3 linked regions of the Tribolium castaneum genome follow. The protein of the gene in region 1 binds, or shares a complex with, the protein of each later gene. Links are inferred from orthologs where the notes say so. Each region holds a gene or a part of one and is shown in the gene's direction. Other genes may lie near its edges.

Evidence for each region.
Region 2: Rrp6 (region 1) and Rrp4 share a complex: the UniProt entries of both Caenorhabditis elegans proteins name them as parts of the RNA exosome complex. The link is inferred for Tribolium castaneum from reciprocal best matches to the Caenorhabditis elegans genes crn-3 and exos-2.
Region 3: Rrp6 (region 1) and Csl4 share a complex: the UniProt entries of both Caenorhabditis elegans proteins name them as parts of the RNA exosome complex. The link is inferred for Tribolium castaneum from reciprocal best matches to the Caenorhabditis elegans genes crn-3 and exos-1.

What each region holds. Positions count from the first base shown.
Region 1 is NC_087398.1:13,230,826-13,235,227, reverse strand, and holds the start of Rrp6 (exosome complex component 10 homolog), read left to right. Parts: upstream 1-1,555; 5' UTR 1,556-1,728; coding exon 1,729-1,818; intron 1,819-1,868; coding exon 1,869-2,261; intron 2,262-2,311; coding exon 2,312-2,490; intron 2,491-4,402. Other genes in the region: transmembrane protein 98, read right to left, coding at 441-524, 570-776, 824-1,058, 1,106-1,260. UniProt on the Caenorhabditis elegans protein: Catalytic component of the RNA exosome complex which has 3'->5' exoribonuclease activity and participates in a multitude of cellular RNA processing and degradation events. Involved in apoptotic DNA degradation.
Region 2 is NC_087397.1:170,314-173,359, reverse strand, and holds Rrp4 (exosome complex component RRP4), read left to right. Parts: upstream 1-1,264; 5' UTR 1,265-1,345; coding exon 1,346-1,470; intron 1,471-1,521; coding exon 1,522-1,759; intron 1,760-1,820; coding exon 1,821-1,955; intron 1,956-2,009; coding exon 2,010-2,189; intron 2,190-2,242; coding exon 2,243-2,455; 3' UTR 2,456-2,479; downstream 2,480-3,046. Other genes in the region: Impbeta11 (importin-11), read right to left, coding at 1-476, 529-629, 677-814; uncharacterized protein tyn, read right to left, coding at 2,884-3,035. UniProt on the Caenorhabditis elegans protein: Non-catalytic component of the RNA exosome complex which has 3'->5' exoribonuclease activity and participates in a multitude of cellular RNA processing and degradation events. Involved in regulation of antisense ribosomal siRNA production.
Region 3 is NC_087401.1:17,299,363-17,302,341, reverse strand, and holds Csl4 (exosome complex component CSL4), read left to right. Parts: upstream 1-1,384; 5' UTR 1,385-1,471; intron 1,472-1,527; 5' UTR 1,528-1,684; coding exon 1,685-2,275; 3' UTR 2,276-2,331; downstream 2,332-2,979. Other genes in the region: protein HGH1 homolog, read right to left, coding at 44-1,044, 1,091-1,178. UniProt on the Caenorhabditis elegans protein: Non-catalytic component of the RNA exosome complex which has 3'->5' exoribonuclease activity and participates in a multitude of cellular RNA processing and degradation events. Involved in regulation of antisense ribosomal siRNA production.

The sequences.
Region 1 (4,402 bases):
TGTTTTTAACTCCTTTTTCTAACTCACATTTTCCCAAAAACATCAATTTTTCTTGAAAATAAAACAGTCAATAACAAAAATTAAAGAATTTTTAACTCCAAAATGAAGCTATAATTTTTCGAGGAACTGTTTACCTACATTATTTTCCACAATCATCGGCATCATAAATAAGATTCAACACTAAAATTTGTAGCCTGCATTGGAAAAGAACGCAATTTTAAGAAAGCCAATGTATCTTTGTGGGGAAACCCCGACTCTTTATTCTGTTTCTATATTTGGATATATATTTCTCTACCACGTTTGAACTCACGCATTTGAACCCACTTCGTAACCATGGTAATAAAGAGAAAAAATTAACAGATGGCGCCACATAGGAGGAAACCTTCATTAATCAAGGACGCTGTGGTTTTATCTTACTTAAATACGTTGTTCATGAATTTCTAAACACTGGTGTTATAACTTGCGTTTATGACGCTTTGTATCTTGCCTGAAGCCTCCTGAGTGACTGCAGCCTCTCGTAAAACCTGCAACACTTTCCTGAACTTGCGCTTTTTTTTTCCTATACGTACCACCATGTGTCCGTCCATTTCGGCCAAAGACTTGTCAATCCAACTAAAACTCTTGTCTCTTTGTCCGCACTCATATTTCGCAATGAGGGCCAAATGACTGACTGCCAAAGACAAAGCTGCAGCTCGGGCTTCCAACAATCGGGGGTCCAAAGGGGGGTACATACTTCGGACCATGTCGTCCACTCTGCTTGAAATTCTCTTAGCGCTCTGAAATTAAATATTAAAATTTGTTGGTACGAGTTTTTATTTTTTACTTCGACAATAAGGGAGAGGCCGCTGCCCGAGGCCTGAGTTGTGCCCATTGCCAGTGCAGTTAGGCGCTCCGTTAGGAACCTACAAGTTTTCAAAATCGAGAGGCAATGGGGGATCAGACCAGTGGCGTCGTCAATCCATTGTTCGTCAGCGAGGATTTGCTCAAGGTTTGGGTTTAACTGGACTTCCCCCAACTCTAGTTCGGCTTTTTCGGGCTCAATTAGCATCACTTCGGGCCTAGAATTCGGAATTATTGTTTGTTGTTAACTTTTGGGTGGACGTACCGAGACATTTCGTTCTGGTTGTCCAGATACGTGGACTTGTAGTAAAGCCGCTGTCTTCTGCATATTATTACAAGGACAACGAAAGCACTCACAAAAATTGCCGACAAGACCCCAAAGGCTATCGCCGCCACCATTTCGGTGTATTCCGGAGACATTTTGCTAAATAACCAGAGGCGCTAATTGTTATTGCAAATGTTGATTACGTGTGTTATTAACGATTACATTTTTACTTAAATCAGAATCAAACCAAACTTGTTGACCTCTTATTTCTGTAACTTTAGAAGTTTGTTGTTAACATTCAGAAAGCAGTTTCAGTAGTTTTAAAACGCAATTACATACCATTCATGGTAATTGCATTCGCTCAAACTTTACTTCCAAAGTGGGAGGCTTCGCACCATTTGCGTATCGTGTTTCAAATTAATACTCCCTTACGTTCAAATTAACAGTTTTTGGTTCCAATGAAATGAAACCATAAATAAAAACGGCAAAAGGAATTTTAAAAAATTCAATCCTCCAAAATATTTTTTCAAAATCCCCCTCCATTACAACTTCTTGTCGTCTGTCACTTGTCAAAAGTTGTGGTTATGTTATGAAAGTGAACAAGTGAATTATTGGAGCTTAAAATGGGTGACAAAGCTCAGGAGCACCCTGAGGGAGCAAGTAAAGACTCGGAGATTATCCCGGGCTACTCGTCCATGGAGCAGTTTACGAAGGTTGCTCATTTTGGTATTTTTGAGGTTATGTCCTAACGTGGGGCTTTCAGGACGGCTTTAAGGTCCTAATGGAGGCGATCAAGCACTCCAATGCGTTACCGTCGGGTCGCGACTGGGACTTTTACAACATTTCCGACTCCTTCAAAGAAATCATGAAAGTGGAAGGCAATCACGTCTTGCGTTTAATGAACCAAGTTATGCGTTGCAATGATCTAGACAGTAATCTAAGGAACCGTGTTTTGGACGAGAAAATCGAGCTTGTGATTGAGGCAAATGATATAATTCTTGAAAAAGTTGCTAATAATATCGACGAAATGAACGGGATTCGCAAAACGGTGGTTGCACCAGTGGTGTTGCAAACGGTCAGCGCCCAGTTGCCTGTGAATGGGTCTTGGAATCGGCAAACCGCTGCCACTGTTACTGTGAGTTCGGTTGTTCCTGAGGTAGTGCAATTTTCACTTTCAGTTGGGCTTTTTTAACGACGTACTTTCAGTCAAGTGGCCAGAACTGTATCAAACTGATTACCGCCAAGAATATTATTAGGCCCCAGAAATTTTTCAAGGACCAAATTGATAACAGGAATAAGACGCCTTGGTCTCCGAGGATTACGGAAAAACCAAATTCGCTGAAACCGTTGGCCATATTTTTAGAAGAATATGAAGACAGGCAAGAGTAAGTCATTTTTCTGTTTTACATCAGATATTGGAGTAAAAATCTCAGCGACTTGAAAAAGTCCATTAATGACTTAAACGTTAGGAAATTAATCTTTTTCTTTATAAAATTTGCAGATCTAAATTAATTAAATTAATTAACTAAATTATTATTTTCAAATATAGAGTATTTCAGAAATGAAATTCAGGATGACTCAATAGTGGGTTATTTACCGATTTTTGTTAATATGCAATCAATTATATATAATACTGCTGATTCCAGCAAACCATATTGGAAATCATTAAAAAATCTCAAAGTTAATCCACGATTACATTGTTTGGGCAATCAAAATGTCAAATTTGTTTTAACCGTTTTGCTAAAATTTCCTTATGGTCAGTCTTCAAGTGGTAAGTTTATTTTTGGTTGCATCTTAGGACATGTCAGAAATAATCCGCTATTGACTCACCCTGTAGAATACAAACTTATGTTTTTTAAATGGAGCACTCTAAATGTGATTGTATTTTTGAACGCAACTTTTAATACTGATGATTTTTATGTAAAGTTGGATTGGCCGATTCTGCTTAGTTATATAATATTATACTAATATACCTAAGCTATACCCTAAATTTTTGTTGGTACGTTATATCTAAACAAGAAAGTTTACACATTTAGCTCTCTTTAGTCGTCTCTACAGCAAAACTTTTTTTTATAACAAAGTTAAAAACTTAAGCAAGTACTTTTTATTTTTAATTTCTTTGAATTATTTTTTACTCTTGATAGCAGTAATAAAAAATCTACATTTCTCCTTATTTGTAAATTATTGAGTGCTATTGACAACTAATTGACTGGCAATTGTCGGATTAACAGATAAAATCACAGTGCAACTCGATTTATTTAAACTCTACATACCTGTAAGCCTAGCTTTGTTAAGCTTTATTTATAAGCCGAACCGGTGTAGTTAAGCCTTAAAGTCAATTTTAATTATTCTTGACAATAGTAACTATAGTAACTCTATCACGGATGATTTGTTGGGGTTTTAAAGATTCACCATAAATACATTTTAAAGTTCTTTTAGATACAAAAATTAAAGGTAAGTTGTTCCATTAAAATTTTTTAAATTATTAAACTTACAACAAACCTCTTCATCTTTTTATTTTTTTGAATGCAGTGAGTTAAAAAAAATGTATTCTTTAAGTTTAAACTTTTTTCTTTAAATCGGTGAAAATCCTACTTTTCGAGAATTCTTAATTTTTTGTAACATTTTTTAAAAAGCTTGTTTTTGTCAAAATTAATAGTTATTTATTTAATGAGTTTGAGTGTAAATCGGACGCTTTATTTCACGAGTGGATTTTTAAACCACGAGTGAAAACGAGTGGTTTATCATCCACGAGGCGAAATAAAAGAACCGATTTACACAAAAACGAGTTGAATACAACATTTTATTTTTCGAAATAGACTCAGCAAGGCTTAAAATTGCTTTAAATTTGTTAAAAATATTCTGACGTTTCGTACTGAGAAATGCCAAACAGTTGTCAAAACTTCCTTACACAGGAGAAAAACCGTAAATTTTGACAGTGTCGAAGAATAAATTATTTTAAAAAACTAAGTAAAATTGGCCTATAAAAAATTAGCTAAAAAACGTTAGTGTTAAAAGCTACATCTAAAAATGCAAAAGCAAAAAAAACATAAGTTTGTATTACATCTATATAAATTTCGGAAACAATCTGTATACTTGAAAATTATATAGTTTAGGTGGGCCAGGGGCTTGGTATTTACGCTTTTTGTAAAAAGATTAATTTTTTAGTATTTTCGAATCTCTGGGATCACCCTGTGTATTCATATTTTTAAAACATTTCGAAAAATTGCTCTAAACAGACTATTATATTCAAAATTTTGACTAACAAAACTTGACACACCAAACGTTTATTTTAAA
Region 2 (3,046 bases), on another chromosome or scaffold:
ACTTCATACAATCCTGGTTTTGATGCGGTTTATAAAAACCAAAAACAGTCAATTTGCGTAAAATCCTCAAAGTCAATAGTGCTTTTTCCAAATTTGTAAGAACTAGTTGCGAAGCTGCGCCTTTCATTACATCATTCATAAATTGTTCGGTGAAATTATTCCATAAATTCAACACAAACGAATAAATATTACTGGAAAACTCTTGGAAAAAACGGCGATCGCCTGTTAACCGTTTCGAAGCAATGGCTTTAACTACATGATGAAGAGTTAAAAATCCTCGATGTTGGACTAGAGAATCAGGACTTTCAATTACTTGTAGTAAAGTCGGAAATAATTCGGGCCACTCTTTCGGACAATCAATTCGTGCAATTTTCGAAATTAAAACCGCTCTTTGTACCGCAATCTGACTAACGGGTTCGTTAAAACTTAAAATTAAACCGTGTTTAATGTTTTGTTTTTCTGCCTCTAAAATAGCGCTAGAAATGGACATTAACTTTAGTTAGGTACATTACAACTTGCGTGACTTACTTTGGTGCGTTTTTTCTCCAATATCGTTCAATACCATTTTTTATATACAAAACTGCAATCCACCGTACGTTTATATCAAGCGAGTGGTTAGATAAAACATTCTGAAGAATGGTGTATTATTTAATTGTGTTTTTTGCCCAATACGTACAAATAAAACTGTGTAAAATCCAGGTTGAGTTTCCCATTCCCGTAATTTGGCTTCAGCCGGTTTTAACACTTCTGGATTTTGACTCGAGGCTCTTTGCAGAACTTCAATTACGATGTCTTGTGTTGATCCCGTATTCATTGTGAATTATAATCATTTCCCCCTTGAGAACCACAATTTATTATAATACACAACAATATACGAATTATTTTCAATAAATTTTAACTTGTGTGTAAGACAAATCGCAAAAGTGAGGTTAGAATAATTTAATTTTGATTTCCTAATACGCCTTACATTATGGTAATAACAAATTTAAAATTTTTTCATTTCAATGTGGAAAAGAAAATTTTGCCTCACCTGACCGGTATTATACAATTATTTTTTCTTAAATAAAATTATCAATTGTCAAAACACATATGACATGTTTCAAATGACATGCACGACTACCACAACAGTCATTAAAAATACCAAAAAACAAAAATTTCCTTTTAATAATTAAATTACACATAAAACCGACAAAATAGAAAATTAAAAACAAGTTTCAATAATAATTCAGATTGATAACAGAGAAGTCACAATTTTATATAGATTGCGTACTTGCGTATTGTTGCTTGCCTAACCCAGTAATTGTTGTTTCTAATCTCAAATGCGGTTCGAGTGTTTTGCAAGAACATGCCGCAAAAAATTCACATACGCCTTGCCGCTCATCGCATCAACCCCTCAATTGCTGTTAACCGTCGAGTTCCAAAGATATTTACTCCGGGACAAGTGATTACGGAGCAAAATGAATTTATGAGGTTAGGTTTGTCTCGTGTTTTTTTTTGAAATTTTGCGATTTTTCTAAATAGAGGGCATGGTACGTACGAAGAAGAGGGTTTTTTAAAATCATCAGTTGCTGGAGTTAAGGAACAAGTAAATAATTTGATTTCGATTCGTCCGTTAAAAAGTCGATATAATGGTGAAGTGGGTGATGTGGTGGTTGGACGAGTCACAGAAGTCCAACAAAAACGCTGGAAAGTTGATACGAATTCGCGTCTGGATTCGGTCTTGTTGTTGTCTTCCGTTAATTTACCAGGAGGGGAACTGGTACATAAAAGATTTTTTTGGTCGTTAATTTTGCAAGTAAGTTGGCAATATTAAATTTCAGCGGCGTAGATCAGCAGAAGACGAGCATATGATGAGACAATATCTTCAAGAGGGCGATCTTATAAGTGCCGAAGTACAGAGCGTTTATTCAGATGGTTCTTTATCTTTACATACTAGAAGTTTGAAATATGGAAAAGTTTGTCTCGTGTTTTTCGTTACGTTTTGATTATACGTTCATTTTTGATTGTAGCTTTCTCAAGGTATTTTAGTTAAAGTCTTTCCCTCGCTCATTAAAAGGAGCAAAACACATTTTCACAATTTCTATGTTGGGGCTAGTATTATTTTGGGCAATAATGGGTTTATTTGGATTTATCCAACTGTTTCAAATGCTGAGGATAACGCTGGTGGCTTTGTGCAAAATTTGGAACAAGTTGTGTCTCACAATAGTTTTGTTGTTTTTTTTTGCTACTGTGGTGTTTTTAGGTCGTTTCAAGGCCAGAAAGAGAAACAATTGGACGTCTTCGAAACTGTATTTTGGCGCTTATTCAAAGTAAAATGATGCTGTACGATACTAGCATTTTGTATGCTTTTGAAGAATCACAGAAATATTCAGTGGCTGAATTATTGATTCCTGAAGCTATGGTCGATGTAGCAATTTTGACTCAGGATAGGTTAAGCATGTTGGAAAATTCATAATAAATAGTTTTTTCTTATAAAAAATGTCTATTATTCGACTTGAGAACGTGTATAAAATAATCGATATAAATAATGTTAGCCTAGTCGAGATATATACAAAAAAGTAAATAAATAAAATAAATAAGTACACGAATTAGACTGTTTACCGTTACAAAATTTGCTCTAGGAACGAGAGTCAGTGCAAATTAGTTTTAATAAGAGATCAAGAAAGTATAACTTTTGCAACGGTAAAATAAAGCTTCCATCACCAAGGCCGCCACCTTCCCGAAAAAAAATCCTTAAAAAATACATATTGCATAATGTAGAGTCGGGGAATTCCCTATTTGATATCTCATCTCGAGTTAACGATATCACAGAACTAACAATGCTGCTCGTCAACTCAACCGAAAGATCAAACTTGATTAAAGCACCAAAGTGTCTCTAAATCTTCAAGCGATGTGTTTCCCGGGATTTAACCACTTCTTCATGTAGTAACAGAACAGCGTACTGATGTAAAGTAGAACTAATAAGGCACAAGTCACACCCAAGGCTAACACTGAAGTCTTGGTGGGGCACGGTTCAATGATCGTTACTGTTTTATCTAGAAACAAA
Region 3 (2,979 bases), on another chromosome or scaffold:
TTTTTGAAATATATAGAAAGACGAAATTTAATTGTAAAAAAATTTATTCATCTTTTAAAAACTGCTCATCCGCTTTATTGAAGTCTTCGCTTAAACTTTGGGGCACTTTAAGTGTCTTCAAATCATCTTCTCCAATTTCCTCCTCGGTGCGTATCAAAATATCGACCAAATTTTCACACGCTAAAAGCACCTTTCTGTCCTTTTCCCACTTGTGCAACTCGCGCAAAATCACATAAGTGTTTCTCTCTCTGATAAATTCTCGATTTTTTCTCTTGGCACATAACTGGGTCAAAGCCTCCAGTAACATGCACCTGATATCTGGATCTTCTTCACGCTGTTTCTCCTCCGGGAGATATTGCAGTTCAAGGGGGAGCTTGTCGTTGTCTTCGTCGTCAAATTCCTCGTTTCCGGCCAGGGGGCGGAGCAGCCGGGGCAAGATATCGACATGGGGGCCCAAGAGCAGCTCATGACACTCGGGGTCAAATGTGCAGTTACGCAGGGCCCCCACGACGCCCCCGCGCCTCACGGCCGACTCCTCGAATTCAATGAAAGGCACGAGTTTGTGGATCCGGTCCAGGAAGCGTCTCCGGACGCGCCCACTTTGCGACAAGTTCGAAAAAAGGGGGCTCAAGTAGTGGAGGTTAGCCCCCGCTTTATTGTACTGTTTTTTCGTGAAAATGTCAATCAAATCGTCCAAACTTGCGCTTTTCTCAAGCGCATCAATCACTTTATCGTGATTGGCCCGAGATAAGTTCGATAAAATCATGCAGGAAAAATCGGCGATTTTACTCATGGGGTCCGTCACGAATTTAACAACAGTCGAAGTAATGTCACTCGGGGGGCTCTGTAAAGGGGGGCACCCCACACTCGTGTCCAAATCAAGCAATGCCAGGGCCCCCTTGTGATCAGCAGAGACATTAACAAGGCAAAGTGCCGAGTCTTTGACAATTGTGGCGTTATTATCACTCAAAAGTGTGATTAAGGAGACCAGAAGTGACGGTGTGTTGATTAATGTGGCAATTCCGTCCGCATTCCCCGTCAAACCTACAAAAAAATTACAAAAAACAAGTCTAACCTCGAACCCTATTACCCAAAATGTGCCCCAAAGCCACCGATTTGAGGTCCAAACGGGCCCCCAGATGCACAAACTGCAACAATTCGGCCACGGAATCACCCATTATCAGGCTAAAGCCCCCAAAAAAAAACAAAACACGAGGGGTGACAGCTGTCAAAAAAGTGGGGTTAGGTGGCAAAAAATCATTCTAATAAGTAAGGCATTATTTTTTTAGGTTTATCTCTACGTTGTATGTATATACAGGGTGTAATGAGTAGTTAAATAAACATAACATAAACCAGTTTATTTAATTCTGTAGCCAAATTAATGGTCGTAATTGGTAATTAATGTTAATTAATGAATGAGAAAGTAAAATTTTGCAAATTCGTTTTTTGACAATTGACAGTGACACTTGACGTAACCTCAAAAAAATCAAAAATTTCGTTTTTGTGCTGATTTTTCGCATGTTATAGCTCCTTGTGTGCCTTTGATTGGCTTTGAACGTCGTCTGCCGTGATAATAATATTGACAGTAAAAGGAACACGCAGTTTTTGAAATTTCTTCATGTCAATTGACATTTGACTTAACCTCAAAAAAAATCAAAAATTTCGTTTTTTGTTGATTTTGGGCATGTCATCGCCCCTTGTGTGCCTCCCGGGGCAGCGGCTGTGCCTGTCGGACCCCTCGCACGTGTCCGGTCAAGGCACGTACGAGCGTGGGGGCTACATCTACGCCACCCTTGCCGGTGTTGTGGACATTGTCCCCAAAGACAACGTCCAGATCATTGAAGTGCGCAGTTCCGGGCAGGAAACGCTCGTGCCGTCACAGGGCGACATCGTCACAGCGCAAATTCACACAATCACGCAGCAGTTTTGCAAATGCTACATTAAGTGTGTCGGGGATAAGGTTTTGGGGCGGCAGTATCGCGGGATTTTGCGGAAGGAGGACGTGCGAGCGACGGAGAAGGACCGCGTGGAGATTTACAAGAGTTTCAGGCCCGGGGACGTGATTCTGGCGAGGGTTTTGCCGATCACGGAAGCTCACACTTATCAGTTGTCCACGGCTGAGAATGAGCTGGGGGTCGTGACGGCGCACTCGGAACATGGGGGGCTTATGGTGCCTGTGAGCTGGACGGAGATGCAGTGCTCCAAGACGTTTGTGAAGGAGGCCAGGAAGGTTGCAAGAGTTGTGCCAGAAAGCGTGCAAAATGATGTGAAATAATGTTCAATAAATTGTATTTTTGTTTATTTTAATAAACCCTTTTGCGTCCCTTAAAAGTGCAAAAAAGTTAATTGAACTATTAGAGATAACCCTATAAAGTTTATAATCGTTGGAAAGCTCTTTGGATTATCTATTTTTTTCAAAAATGATTATTGTTCTCCGACTAATAGTTTTCGAGAAAATTGCAAGCAAAAGCAAAAATTGGAAACATTAAAAAAATCATAACTAAAAAACTATCGGGAATTTGGCGATTTTCTCGATGTCAATCGATTTCCCGGATCATTTTGCATAGGTAAGGATCAAAATAGTTCCACTTTTTCGAATAGTTTAGCCGTAATTCGATAAAAATTGAAAAACTTAAAAAATCACGCTGCTTCCTGAAAAACGTGCTCAAAAAACTTAAAAATAAACGCAGGCGCGAAAATTTGAATTTGAACCTAATTCTTTAAATATCTCGGAAACTAAGCGTTGGGCGCAATTTTGTTCTATGAGAGAAAAGATGCAACTTGATGTAGTCTAAGCGACGGTCTGGTTGAAATTGTAATTTTCAATAGTCATTTTGCTATCTCTTTAAGGAGCCATAAAAGACCTACACATTTTTGTGTTTTTGTAATGTCCAGTTCAGGCGGTGAAGTTTGAGGGGTCACTCGATGGGGTTTATATTAGTTTGAAAAACCCACCCTTATATTTTTTTTCAACTTTTA